Xenopus tropicalis: one gene and its partner. The protein of the gene in region 1 purifies or fractionates together with the protein of each later gene. This does not show direct contact. Links are inferred from orthologs where the notes say so. Each region holds a gene or a part of one and is shown in the gene's direction. Other genes may lie near its edges.

Region 1 (7,554 bases):
ATTAATTGCAGTTTCTGCAAAAAGAGTCCCATGATTGCATATTATGTGTCCTAAGACCCCCTAACTGTACAGAAACACCCAGAAAACCATATATTTTTGGAAAGTATACATTCTGACAAATCCAACATGGGTAAAGAAAAATTGTTGCAATTTGCCACATTTATCAATGTATCAAAATTTCTTAAATATAATGACACATTACCCTAAATATGAATGCATCCTGAACAGTTTCATGCCCAATATGCAAAGATTTAGCAAAGTATGTGATATGTACAGACTCTAAATGAAAATGAGTGCATATAAATTTTCTCAGGTGCCAACTCTGCTTTGGTAACCCTTACAAATCCGAATTAGCATATGCAAATGTATGCAAATTTGGATTTGGTTTGGCCAGGACCGTGGATTCAGGCGAATCCGAACCCTGCCGAAAAAGGCTGAATACCGAACCGAATCTTGGATTTGGTGCATCCCTAATTACTTCTGAATTATAATACTTTCTCATTTCAATTTATCAGTTGTAAGTGATCCAGTGCACTGTATAATTTTAGGTGGATCAATAAACTTTAAATTCTAGTTAGTTTTCAGTGATTTGAAGCTAAATATATATAACTTGGTATATTTTTTTTTTAATAATTTTATTTTTAGAAATTTTTCATAAGTCATCAAAAATTGCTGACATGTAATTTTGACAGAATAATGATTATATTTTGCATATATGAATATTCAATGTTTTTACCAGGTTGTGGAAATAAAGTTGGAGTTTAAGCTCTAAAGCATGTTTTTATCAGTTCCATCAATATTGTCACGTTGGAAACAGTGAATTGATATTCTGAAATATCACATCCATCAGTGGTAATAAAGAAATAATAAAATAACCATTGATATAGAAAAATAATTATTCAAATCAGAAAAACAAAAATATCTCAAATAATTGAGACACGTTTTATGGTGTAAGCCTGGTCATCATTTCTTATTATTAAGCTAACTATTTCTCTTTACAGTGTGAGGAGGTGGGTAGGTAACTTATCGTTAAACCTATACTTTAGCTAGGATTTCCATACTATCTGAAACGTTTTAAGTCTATCTATAGCGATGCTAGTTAACTTCTCATTAATAAAGATCCCATCAATCTTATTTTTAAACATAATGAAGTTTATTGTTGGGGGACTTACAAGACTTTGCTATCGTCTGTCTAGCGGCTAGGAATATATGAGTTAGGAGTTATTGTGAATGGTAATCCCATAAGGGCTTTATATGGTTTAATTGTAAAAAAGAGAAAATCAGGTTGTAGACTCTTAACCAGAATCTGATTACTTTTGGGCAAGGCTACCATATATGCCCCATAGTACCTGGAGTTGAACAGCCTCTAATACAAGTGTCGCTTGGGCCTTGATATATATATATATAAGTCTGAGGTTAAATACCAGTGAAAAAGGAACTTATAACTGGCTTTGGATAAAATTGTATTGGCTGAGCTGTGTTTTAAGTTGTCTCACATTTGGGACCATTGATCCTCTGTTAGGTTTGTGCCTAGGTCCCTATGCTATTGTTTATTGTATGAAATTTCCATAAGGTTCTTAGGTGAGATCAAATTACGATAGATAGGAGATTAGATAGCTTTGGGTGGGATAGTGTTGCTTGAACACCATCTCTCAAAAAAGGTGGATGGAGCCTGTTCTGAGTGTCTCTGCCCCTAACTGATGAGTAAATTCTTTATCCTAATGAATTTATTAGCAGTCCACCATTTAAATGCATTCGGTTGTAGTCCTGGGAGAAATAGGGGGTTACTTGTGATGGGAGATATCGAGGAGTCAAGGCATATAAAGTGACATAACGATCCCAAAGGGATAATGTCACCTGTACATTTTATTCACTAGTTGCCATTTGTTTTAGAAGAAATTCCAAAGACTGGATCCTCTATTCTTAGAAAAGCATGTAAGTTGGTTCTTTGGTGCCTGCCTGCCCTCTCAAATAGAGGAATTATTTAGAATGGCTTTGAACTTAATTATCTTGACCTCTGTATCCTAGCTGCAAAATATTTTACATTCCTCACTCGCACTTTCTAAGCCACCAACAATTTCTGCTCAGTGTGAGTTCTTTTTTCATACTTCTGGGATTAGAATTAGATATATATTTTAATTTTTGTGTATTGATACTTTCTTTTTCTTGTAAAGTCCTGCGGTCACAAGATAGTATATGTTCTAATTATGCAGCTAGAGTGTATTTTATAACTATGCTGGCTATGTATACAACCCTTGCATATTAGGGTATTTGATTGTAGCTAGGTCTACTCCCACCCCCTCCACAGAGAGCAAGTTAGGATCACCTGCTCCTTTGCAATTTTTTTTTTTTGCATGCATTCCAGTAAAAACAAGATTAGTGAGAATTGTGTGTGTAGTAGCTGCTGTAGTAACACCTAGTACTCTTAAAAAAGTCATCTTATTGCAACTGTACCTTGTATTTATTTGTATTTATTGTTGTACTTTGTATTTATCCATTATCTTTAACCCCCCTGTCTGTATTAATGAATTCTACTGTACAGCGCTGCGTACATAAGTAGCGCTTTATAAATAAAGATATACATACATACATACATAAATACGCCTCTAAAAATCCACTTGAATAGAGAGTGACTGCGGTATCCTCCAGTGAACTGTGGCAAGCTCTTTTACCGAATGTGCCCCGTAGTGTCTAAAGATAATGGTCATTCATTTTCTTTTTCTCTTTAGAAATTTGGCGAAATCGCCTGCGCAGCGTGTGCCATCCCACCGGCGACTTACATTTTCGCCGGTGGGATGGCAATGCGGGGAGATTAGTCGCCCGCGAACAGGGAGATTTGTTGCGGGCGACTAATCTCCCCGTGTGCCAGAACCCTTAGAGGCAGAAAACAATCATTGTATTGTTGTGGCTGCTATGCAGGCTCTGCTTTACTCCTGGTTCCTTTGTATTGAGGACTTTATGACATTTTACAGTTCATACAAAAATGTTGAAACATTGCTTGTCTCTTCAGTGTTGTGACAGGCAAACATTTTTTTTCCCACAGTCAACTGTTTTTATCAATGGGCTTAATTTAAACTGTTGTCCTTTTCAGCTGCCACTGCTGTGTTCTTATCTGACCTATAATGGGAGATATTTATCACAGACAGATAAAGGAAATATAAGTGTAGGCTTTTTTAGGGTCTGAAAGGGGCCATTTAAGGATTTGTCATGATTTATGTAACTTTAGAAATTTTCATTAGAGCAAATGAATTGACTAATATTACAAATACATGTTACCTGTTTAAAAGAACCTAAAAACACCTTTGTAAATAATGTGATTGCTTTCTAATTTAAGAAAAGATTCAATAATTTCCTACTATTTTGTTCTTGCAGAATGTGTTGGCCAAAGCTCTTTATGATAATGTGGCTGAGTCACCTGATGAGCTGTCTTTTCGAAAGGGGGATATCATGACTGTTCTTGAACGAAACACTCAGGGTCTTGAAGGCTGGTGGCTTTGTTCTCTACATGGAAGACAGGGGATTGTCCCAGGAAACAGGCTGAAGATTCTGGTGGGAATGTATGACAAGAAACAGGGTTCTGGTGACCAGTGTCAACAGAAGCCTCAGCAACAAACACAACAGCAGCCGCCCCAAATTCCACTGAATTATCAACCCCAGGGGGTCTATAATGTGGTCACATCATCAAATCAGTATACACCAATGCATTCTGCTTACCAGAGCCCAGGTGGAGAACACGTATATTTGATGCCAGCATCTTCTAAGGGGCAGCAGGGGCTCTATCAGAACCCTCAGGGGCCACAGCATCCAGGGCAAATAACCCCATCAAAACAACCCTCCTTGTACCAGAACCAGCCTGCTCAGCACCCATTTCCAAGCCAAGTACAAGACATCTATCAGGTTCCACCATCTTTGAACCAATCACAGGAACTCTACCAGGTTCCAGTGGGATCCATAAGTCCTCCTCAGCCTCACGATGTTTATCAAGTCCCACCCTCTTCTGGAACAGTACAAGACATATATCACGTTCCACCTTCAATTACCTCTTCACAGGAAATATATCAAGTGCCACCATCCATGGATATGAGGGCAGTGGAGGTCAGAAAGGCGCCTGGGAAGGTACAGTCTAACTTTTTTATGGGTTACCTTTTTTGAAGTCAACAATAAATTTGTGTGTTTTGCCTATACACATTCTAAATGCTAACGAGATTGAATTTGTGATTTCATAGAATCAGCACTAATAAACGTCTGTAACTTTGATGAACTTGGAACAAATCATCTTGTTTTTATCAGCTGGAAGAGTTCTACAACATATATCGTTTTATAGGTAGTAATAAACCTGCTATACCTGATGCAACCAGTTTATGCCTTTATGAAAATAGATCTATTTTTTTTATAGATCTATTTTTGCATCATTACATGTAAAGATGTATCAAACCATTAAAATAAGAAAACCTGCCCAAGAACCTTCGGCGTTAAGTACAGTGTTTTTTCTCTGGAGTGTACTTCTAAGCCACATGCATGGCCCAGATAATTCTTCTAATGGGTTTTCCAGTTTCAGCAGCATGAAAATCAGATTTGACTAAACTTTGACATTCAGTTGGCAAACACATTAGCAATCTCACAAATGTATGCATATATTTTCATGTAATATTTTCAAAGAATATATTAGTAGGATAGACTGGAAACAATACAATAATAAAACATAAATGTATACAAAAAATATCATTGCATTCAAGAATAATTGCTAATTGTTAAGGGACACAGGAGGAGGGAGGTCCTGCCCTGTAGAGCTCATGTAAAAAAAAAAAAAAGTTTTTAATTTTGCTTGAAACAATTTGTAAAATTGTCTAGTTTTCAAAAGCAATGTAATACAGTACTGTTGGAAAACTTATTGGCACTTTCTTTATTTTCCTGGTACTCACGTGACTCCAGTGTGGCAAACAACCAAAACCATATATGTTTTTTTGGAAAGGATTCTATTAGAGCCATTGTCCCACTAGATTAGACTGATTAGAATCAATTATTCTTTATCTAAATGGCCCCATTATCTTACATGTATACTACATTGCTGCTTAAAATAGTTGTGGCTGATTTAACATAAAAATGAAAAAGATAAGGGGGCTTAAATGGATGCATTTAACTGTTAAACTATATATATTTATAAAATATAATCCTCACACCACAGGAAATTTTTATAGTGAACATGACTCTAAGGCCTAGGTCTGTTGTCGCTTTATAATGAAATGTATATAAAATGTTCTGCCTATAGCACACACTGGCAATGACAGGTGACTGCAAATAGCAAATTTTGAGCTTCTTGACCACACTCCTGCACAGGGCTGTGCTGGATTGTAACTTTAGGTAGAAAAAGTGTGGGGCTGTAGGAAAAGATAGCAACAGTTAATCTAGTGTTAACTGTAAGATTTTATATGATTCTTTCTTGATTTTTTACTATCTGCAGCCCTTTAGCTGATAAAGGGTGACAATCCTTATTTACAGTCCTTATTTATATAGGTATTATATTGTGCGCTTCTACCACTACAGTAAAAACAATGCTGTAAATGGACTCATAACCCTTTAACTGCCAGCAGCCAGGAATGCACTGGGACAGTACCTTGCAAGACAGTATGCTTTTTCAAATCTCTTTAAGGGGCACTGAACCCTTGAACATTGCATATATCAAGTATAAATGTATAGATTGACCCTATATAAAACACCTTTTTTTATATAAATAAGGCCTTTACATGAAAAATATATTTTTCTGTTAGTATGATCACTTATTGAAATAATGCATACCAGTTTACATCAACTAATGAATGGAGACAATAGTGTATTTTACTTCTATATTTCTTCCTATTGCAGATATTGTTGTCATATGATGTCTCAAGTATGATAAGTTGGTCATTTATTGTGATATATTATTTGTTGGTTAAGTTGCTGGCATGCTGAGTTAAGCTACTAATATAATAGGTAAATTTATTTTCCAGAGAAAAGGGATATGATGTGTTTGCTGTCCTGGAAGGCAACATTCAGCTGTCAGGTCACTAATTATAAATTTTCTAATTTTGATTAGACATGCATCCCATGCAGATGGGCACTGAAGGGCTGGCAGGCATTGGGCATGAACTCAGTGTCTGTGCCCAGCAGTTGTGCAAAGGAACAATGTAATCCTGTGCATGACAGAAGCTCTGCGAAATTTTTAAATTACTGTGAAAATTGTATCTATATTGAGACCTTGTTTCTAAAGAGAAGGCTTTTTCAAAATCAAGTAGACAGGAAAATTAGATCATGTAATAATGAGATGGAACGGATCTTTGTGAAATATTTATCTGTGTGTCTACATTTGGAAATCTATATGTAACATCTGCAGTTTAATATTTTTATCATACATAAAATATCACAGACTATTCAGGTTCTTCATGGCTCATTACATTTAGATTGGACCTACTCAGAATTGTAGATATGGCTTATTCTATAATAGGATACACTAGAATGTGAAAAATAAATTGCATGACCTCAGAAAGAGTCCTGTCCATGAAATCTATTTTTATACCATCACAGTTGGTTCCATCACAGTAAGGTTGCCATGGCACTGATGCCCTGTTACACAGTTGTACAAAAGACACAACTAGATGAAGCAGATGGTGTAACAGGCACCATATATAGAATGCTGTAGCCATCTACAACATCCCTTTTTATAAGCTGCTATGCAACACTAATGGCACATCTATAATTTTATAGCTGCATTTTTTTCAGGAATTAGGTTGCTTTACATTAGAATAAGTGGGAATCTCTAGACTTTTGGTACATGCCCTTATGAATTTGCAATCCAAGTGTCTATATTGCATGTCTAGCACCCTGGTGCTGCAAGGCAGCAGTGTTAATCATTGGGTTCGCTGTGCTGCCTAGAGGTCCACAAAATCACCAAAATTCCCAATTATTTTGACATACTGAAAAATCGAGCAAACAAATCTTGTCCTTGTGCAGTTAGCTTAAAAGTCTGTGTTGTTTTGATAATTGAATAGACCCCATATAATATGTTCTCCCACATATAAACATTAACATAAGTTTGCTTTATAAATGTAATTATTAGAAATTATTATAAACAGTAGTTGTCTGCTTTTCGCCTATTGAGGTCTGTAAAAATCACAGCTCTGCGCAATATGTTGGCGCTTTATAAATAATAAAAATAATAAAACTGACCAAACCTCCATTAGGTCTATGGTATGGGGACTTTTTGATCAATGGCTGCATCTATTTCTTTTACAACATTGGGTGCTTTGTACTCACCCTTAAAGTAGTAAAGCTACTTACATAGTAACATAGTAAGTTGGGTTGAAAAAAGACATACGTCCATCACGTTCAACCATAATGCCTATGTATAACCTGCCTAACTACTAGTTGATTCAGAGGAAGGCAAAAAACCCCATCTGAAGCCTCTCTAATTTGCCGCAGAGGGGAAAAAATTCCTTCCTGACTCCAAGATGGCAATCGGACCAGTCCCTGGATCAACTTGTACTAAGAGCTATCTCCCATAACCCTGTATTCCCTCAC
Region 2 (7,554 bases), about 55 Mb from region 1:
TGTTGTTTGGGAAAACCAAGCATGCTTCCTTATTGGGGTTGTTGTTTCTTTGGTGCCTATTGATATTTTATTTAAAATTTTCAGACTAAGCAAAATCATCATCCACTTAAATTCGGATATTCAGATGTTAAGCCTCTATTGAGCAGTTATTGGGACAATTATATGAACTACCTAACTTAGATATAAATCATACAATGCTATTTACAAGAATGTATAAAATACACAGATGCATAAATAGGTTTGATTTTATTAAAGCCAGTGCTGGTTTAAAGGGAAAGCTTTACTGGTACATTCAGTTACATTTTGGCTATGGGAATGACCAGTGTTCAGTAACCAAGCGAGCATAACTTAGACCCATACAAAACTCTGCACTTTCTGGGAGGTGAATGACATGAGGCAAAGCTCTTGTCATTTCCTCTCTTAGGACTCCCCCCAGACACACCTCCTTCTCCGCCTTTATATATTCTGATGTTATCGGCACAGATTTACAGCACAGGCCCCATTTTCACAGCACAATGAGTTCAGAGGGCAACTGGAATGGGTAGAGGCAATGCTCATCATTAAATGGGTTTGCTCTGAAGAACAGTAAGGTCCAGATTTGACCCTTACTACACCTGTTATATATTTATTCATCCTTCTACCAGGATGGTAACAAGGTCAGTGTTGCCTAGTTTTAAATTACCATAGCAACCAATTAGATGTTTAGTTACTGTGTTTACCCACTGCCTAACCAATATATTCTAACAGCTGATTGGTTGCTGCATAACCCCAGTGTTATTTCTCAGTCTGTTAGCGTACAGTACATACACTTTCTAGCTCTCACTGTTATATATAAAACTGCATACAGGTTCACTTTTAAAAATAACACTTGAACACAAACCTTTACATTACTTACCTAGCTCTTTGCAATTTGTTCTGAACTGCAGCATTTAGGAATATCCGTATCCTCTTACGCATTCTCTCCTAGATGATCTAGACCTGGGATAGCTGGTCATTTAATAGTTAAAGCAATGTCTTAAAGTAATGACTCATAAACTCGGTGCAAAGGGCAGATTGGAGATTTAGAGTGCTGCATGTGACTGCAGGTGCAACCTTGCTCTGTTCCAACCTGCGTGACGGCCTTTGATCACAGAGGCAGGCAGGCTTATGAAATGCTACACCCACATCCCAGCAGCAAGTGACAGTAGGTGACAGAAGACAAAACGAAAGTTCTTGTTGAGGGTGCTGTGCCAGAAGCTGGGTGATACAGGAGCACACACAAAGCTTACTTGTGCTATGCCTCACTGATTTGTCTTGCAGTTTTCCAAGGATCGCTATATTATGGATGGTGGAACCCCAGACAAGTTAAAGAAGGAGTTGGAGGAAGAATTAAAGCTGAACAGTGAAGATTTACGGAGCCATGCTTGGTATCATGGGAGGATTCCACGGCAGGTCAGTGTCTACTGCTCCCTTTGAAACTGAAAATCTTACCCTGCACACAACTGTTACCTTCTAGTGGCAAAGAAAGGATAAAATAAACTCCCAGCAGGCTTAGCCAGCCAGTGGCCCTGGAGCTCAGTAGTTGGTAGAAAGCCATAGGCTGGCATTCATTTCTTCCTTACCAGAGTGGCCTGCAGGACATCAGCAAGCATTCTAAAAGCAGAGTTAGAAAGAAGCCGGCCTGCCTGTTTTTGTGGGTGAGCATCTGTAGGAGTACCTTTTATATTCATCTCCTCCTTTCTTCTCGTTGCAGCTTCAGAAACAAGTTTAAAGCAGAATTATATGTTGTAAAAAAAGAAATACAACATGTCATTTATATCCTAATTAGCAATAACCAGTCTTATCAAAGTGGCTTATAGTTATCAGTTAATATTTCCCTTTTACAGCTTTTACCATCAGCTACTCACTGATCACCTGACAGGAAATACTGTAGGTTCTTACTGTAACGGGAAGATGAGCGGCAGCCCTGCCCATTCATTGGCTGATGAAAGATAGCTTGCATGCATGTCCTTGGTTTGTGTGTGAGCACAACCCCCATACAAGCCAGAGTGGCAGTTTTTCAGTCTAGCCAATAGAGTGCCAGAATGCACAGTTTAGAACGCCTGGGTGCAGCCAGCACAATAATAATCCCTAAAACTGATGAGGATCCACACTCACTTATAAACAGTGATTAGAAAAATATATTTTCTGTGTAAATATTTATATGAAACCGTGTTTTAACTGTGGAGTGTTTTATATGATATATTTGTATAGAGACCTGCACTATTTATTTCCATAGAGAGATTCAAGCCGTGGGTGCTTTAAGTGAGAGTCCATCCCAGTGACCTTTTGCTGGCTGAGCTGCGCATATAGATTCAGAGGGTGAGCCGCAGGTGTATGATCTGTTCCTGAATGAAGTCAGCAGAGCTATTCATGTGTGCTATTTGCTCAGCTCACCTTTCTGTGAATGAGAAATGAAAGCAGGAAGGTCTAAGCCCCACACACTAAATACCAAACTCTTGCTAAAAAGCTATTTGTTTGCACACTCATTCATTTTAGTTCAGACAATAGCGGTAAAGCTGTGTGTTACAGAGAGGGGGATTCCTTTCTTTCCTGTAGTCATAGCAATGCAGCAATGCTGCCCTACTACTGTACTACAATTCCCAGAATTCTCCGCTAGTGACTGGATCTCAGAACTGCTAGGTGTGGAGGGGGGACAAAAGTTTAACAAAGGCTATAAGGGGAGGGGAAAATCTGAAGCAATATGGCTGTCGGGAAACCTGTGGGTTGAAGAGCATCAATAGCTTGTGAGGTCCATGACTGCTCATTCTGTTTATATATAATGTTAAGCCGGAGGAATAGTACCCATGTTCAGGTGTAGGCTCCACTTAATACCATAACAACTGGAGTCCTTTCTCCAGCTCAGATCCCTTTGATTTCCTTTTACTTGCTGAATGCTCTGGCAGCTGTGTAATGTTACCCAGGAAATCAAGTCTTGGACTCTGGGAATCACACATTTAGTGGGCAGCAATTCCCTGCTCCATGGAAAGTGGGAGAGAAGGCTACACAGCTCAGGTTTCATTTTATAGACTCCCTCTGCACATACAAGCAGAAATAAAAGAAGCATTTCCATAGAATAGCCCTTTCCACAGCAGGGGCCTACACTGCTCATAAAAAGTGACACTAAGCTTTTATGAACCGAGAAAGTTCTCAGCAAATCTGCTACTACACTAAATATTTCCCAGACTTGCATTGGCCTGAGCTGATTTCCTGCATCTCACTCTCTTGCCTTTAATTTCCTTTAGAAATCAAATACGCTACTACTCATCACAGGGTTAATTTTCTTTCCTCATATAATGCTACAAAGTATACACGGCACTGTACCCATTGTTATTCGGTCCATTGGTGCCTGAGGCAGCAAGTTAATACTAGACTATATTATAATATGTGCTGGAACTCTGAAAGGTTGGGAGCTAAAAAGCAAAGTTTAGTACTGTAGGTAACAAGCTACCTAAATAGCCTATATACATAAAGCCACAGAGTACCAAATTGGTTTATATTGCTACACTGACCTTCATCCTGCTTTGTTCAGCTATAACATAGGGAAATATACTCCTATCTGTTTTGGTTACTGCTTTTTTTTAACACAAACACACACACACACACAAGACTTTCTGATAAGGAGCAGCTTGTGACTGTACATTCAATTTCATATTTTGTCCAGTTCAGTGTCAGAAATAACAAATAACATGAGTAATTAAAACAACAGCAGAAGCTGTGTTCATTGTGCTAATGTTAAAAGTGTGTTCCTAGAAGGGTTGTTTTCATTTTGCCTTCCATTTTGGACATTCCATTCTCTTTTGGGCAGCAGTATCAATTATATTATGTATATACAGTGCTTCCTCCATGTACCACCTCTTTGTAACACAGACCAACCAAAGATAGCATTTGAAGTTGAAGGCATATAATATACCTGAATTGTTTGTGTGTCAAAGTAATTTACCAGATGGGAGATGTATTTCAACCAGTTTAAGTTCCTATAGTAATTGCTCTACTCACAAGGTCATTCCATATGTAGTAAAGTAGGACCCTATTCTTTAGACGCCAGCATTCCGTTTCATTTTATTTTGTTTGAAAATATTGATTGTCTTCTAGGAATGAGGGTGTTATCAGGTTACCATGTTTCCTCTACATTCTTTCTTCAGAAAACTGAGACATTGCTTTATGTATTAGCTGCTTCCATTTATCACATCTCTCCTCCCCTAGGGGGTAGGTTTTCTGTATAACTGCATTGCCCTTTTCCCACTCAGCTTGTAATACAGCTAAAAACTACCTTTGAGTCATGTGATACATATTTTTTCTCCTAAGTTTTCCTCCTTCCAGTTTTAGAGGGTGGCCTTCTTTTCTTTTTTGTGCTGCAAAGAATCACTAAAGCTTTCTGAACTACTTTTAGGAGCAAAATGTTTTTATCCCGCTGCTTACCTTAGATATTGTGATCATGAATCTGTCGACTAGGGCCATATTGGCTGAAATGATATACTATATAATGTAGAGAGAATATTACTAATCTAAAAACCAGTGTCAGGTTAGAAATACTAAGTTCTCTAATGTCTATGGCCAGTGTTGATAGGTGGATAGGTATACAAGCCTCCATTTAATATTTGTGTTCTCTATTGTTCAGGTATCTGAAAACTTGGTGAAACGAGATGGGGATTTTCTTATAAGAGATTCTCTGTCAAGTCCTGGAAACTTTGTGCTCACCTGTCAGTGGAAAAATCTCTCCCAACATTTCAAAATAAATAAAGTAGTCATCAGGCTGAATGAAGCCTACTGCCGGATCCAGTACCAGTTGGAACATGAAAGCTTCGATAGCATGCCTGCCTTGGTTAGATACTATGTCGGTAATCGCAAGGCCGTGTCGCAGCAGAGTGGAGCCATCATTTTCCAACCCATTAACAGGACAGTGCCTCTTCGATGCATTGAGGAGAAGTATGGTACCTCTCCAGTTAGACGGCTGGAACTGGGCCCCTTGGAAGCAAAAGCTGAAGTCCCTAAACGTCTGAGCCTTAACTTTGGACAGGGGGTATCCCAGGAACAGAGCCTTGCCAGGGGCAATCTCCTAAGGTTGGTAAATTGTAGTAAATTGCTGTCCAAGACAATACCATTTGGCCTATTTTCCCACTTGCTTGCCCCAAATGGTGCCCCTTCACCCTGCCAATTGCTCCCCCCTTTATTGGACCCCCCTACCAATTGCCTCTGCTGCAGACCACTAATTCCATCCTTGGTTATGGTGGGCATAATTGCTTATTTGGGACTAACATAATTGCTTATTTGGGACAAATCAAAAGTTCAGTCTGGTGGGTAAATTAGCAGGGACAATGTTAAAATTATAGCTTGATTGCAAAGAAATGACTTTTTAATAAAGCCGCCCTGACCTGGGACTGCTCAGGGAGGAAGTAGCTCTATTGCTTTCTAAACACATAATAGTTTTGGGTATCCAACCTCTTTTTGGCAACTAAGGGCGAAAACACAATCAGAAAATAGTCACCACAAATTTATTAAGAAAAAAAGACGGTCAGGGTAACTTATCACACCGTCTTTTCTGTCACGGGGTACAACATGAGACGCTGCGACTAATCACATGTGGGTTTTCGTTGCATACATTAGTTTCCGTGACCTTACTGTTCATGTGCCTTATGTATTTCATTTGTTCTGTGCTTGGTTTTGGAGAAGGTCTGGCTGAAGCTGGACACGTGTGCATGTGACATTCATCATCCAATAAAACTGGATTCCCCTATGCTTATCAGAGGCTATCCGCATATCCATTGTATAGTTATGATGATGGGCACTAACTAAACTTCCAATTGGTACATGCACCTCACATCCCATCAGTAAACATCCCAGGGATTATATTGTTGAAGAACCTTCTAGGAATGATTCTCTTTTGGACGTGGTGATATCTAATAATTCTGAACTCATCTCTAACATTAGTGTGGGTGAGCATTTAGGGAACAGTGATCATAACATAGTGTATGTATTAACTGGGAAAGGCTTTTTACAGGGTTAAACACAGAAGGAAAATGGAATATCTTTATAATGTTTCTTAACAAGTATACAGGCCAGTATATTTGCAAAACCTTTATGGTTGGATTAAAGGTCTCTAGGTTGGCAAGAATAGAGGTGGGACCCTTATTATCAGAGGGGGGCTCAGTGGGTTGATGACGGGAAAAAAGCAGAAATCTGAACTGTTAATTTTTGACACAACCAGCTAATGAAGGTTCCTTGCAGGATGCTGCTACTTTGCTGCCATTTTCCAATTTTGTCAAATTGCTCTGCAAACTGGGAAATAAGGTTCAGTGTTGATAAGTGCAAAGTTATGCACTTTGGTAAAAATAATATAATCATGAGTTATACACTAAATAGTAGTGTGTTGGGGTATCCTTAACTAAGAAGGATCTGGGGATTTTTGTAGATAACAAGTTGTCTAATTGCAGAAAATGTCATTCTGTGGCTACTAAAGCAAATAAAGGGATTACACATCATTTTGCCTCTTTATAGATCTCTGGTAAGGCCTCACCTTGAGTATGCAGTGCAGTTTTGGGCTCCAGTCCTTAAGAAGGATATTAATGAGCTGGAGAGAGTGCAGAAACTGCAACTAAACTGGTAAAGGGGATGGAAGATTTAAAGGACATGTAAACCCCACACACAAAAATGTAATCAGTGAACAGCCTCTTTGAAATCTTTCAATACCTGCCACACTGGTTGTCCAGAGGTTAATAGTAAGGCTGCAGTGTCCCCTTAATCACTTAGATTTCCTTCTCCTCCTGTAACCCACTCGCCCACCTCCCTCAGGAATTTGCTTTGGCTGTTGGCTTGTGGGCATGCTCAGTTGTTCTAAACTCAGATTACTAAACACTCCCCCCGTCTAGCAGCCAGTAGAGATGGCATTGCTGGTTCTCATAGAAACTCAGCTCTAGCTGTCTGCTTCAATTTTTTTCTCCTAACCTCCTCTCCTGAGCTCAGCAAACAAACAAATCAGAACTTTTATCAGAGACAGTTCTGCCTGTGTGAGCCTGTATTCCTGATTAAATGTATGCTGAATAAGGGTGTGTGTGTGTGTGTGTGTGTGTGTGTGTGTATATATGCTGTTTGCAGATTTAAATGTACCCAGTTATGTATCAGAGGAAAAATGGCACTGGGTGAAAGCTGCTATTTGCTTTAGGAAAATGTGATGGTGCTGGCAAACAGAGGGGATATATGCAGTACAAATGATGCCATTTGGGTGGGGGAGACGTGCCCAACTGATATACATTGTAGGCAAATGTAGGCTTTACATGTCCTTTAAGCTATGAGGTTAGACTGTCAATGTTGGGGTTGTTTTCTCTGGAAAAGGCACTTGTGTAGGGAGGCAGACAGGGGATGTTCTTTTTTTCCCACCAGAGACCACCGCTTTAGATTAGAGGAAAGGAATTTCATTTGCAGCAGTATCATGGTGAGGGCAATGAGGTTGGGGAATGCCCTTCCTAGTGATGTTGTAATGGCAGATTCTGTTAATTAGTGTAAGTGTATAGATAGGTCAGTATATGTCAGGTTCAC

The links.
Region 2: the proteins of bcar1 (region 1) and bcar3 purify together in Homo sapiens (co-immunoprecipitation; 4 studies listed by BioGRID and IntAct, counting the BioPlex papers as one, with this or other methods). This does not show direct contact. The link is inferred for Xenopus tropicalis from reciprocal best matches to the Homo sapiens genes BCAR1 and BCAR3.

The regions. Positions count from the first base shown.
Region 1 is NC_030680.2:48,740,500-48,748,053, reverse strand, and holds part of bcar1 (breast cancer anti-estrogen resistance protein 1), read left to right. Parts: intron 1-3,372; coding exon 3,373-4,116; intron 4,117-7,554. UniProt on the Homo sapiens protein: Docking protein which plays a central coordinating role for tyrosine kinase-based signaling related to cell adhesion. Implicated in induction of cell migration and cell branching. Involved in the BCAR3-mediated inhibition of TGFB signaling.
Region 2 is NC_030680.2:103,998,048-104,005,601, forward strand, and holds part of bcar3 (breast cancer anti-estrogen resistance protein 3), read left to right. Parts: intron 1-1,299; coding exon 1,300-1,431; intron 1,432-4,639; coding exon 4,640-5,082; intron 5,083-7,554. UniProt on the Homo sapiens protein: Acts as an adapter protein downstream of several growth factor receptors to promote cell proliferation, migration, and redistribution of actin fibers.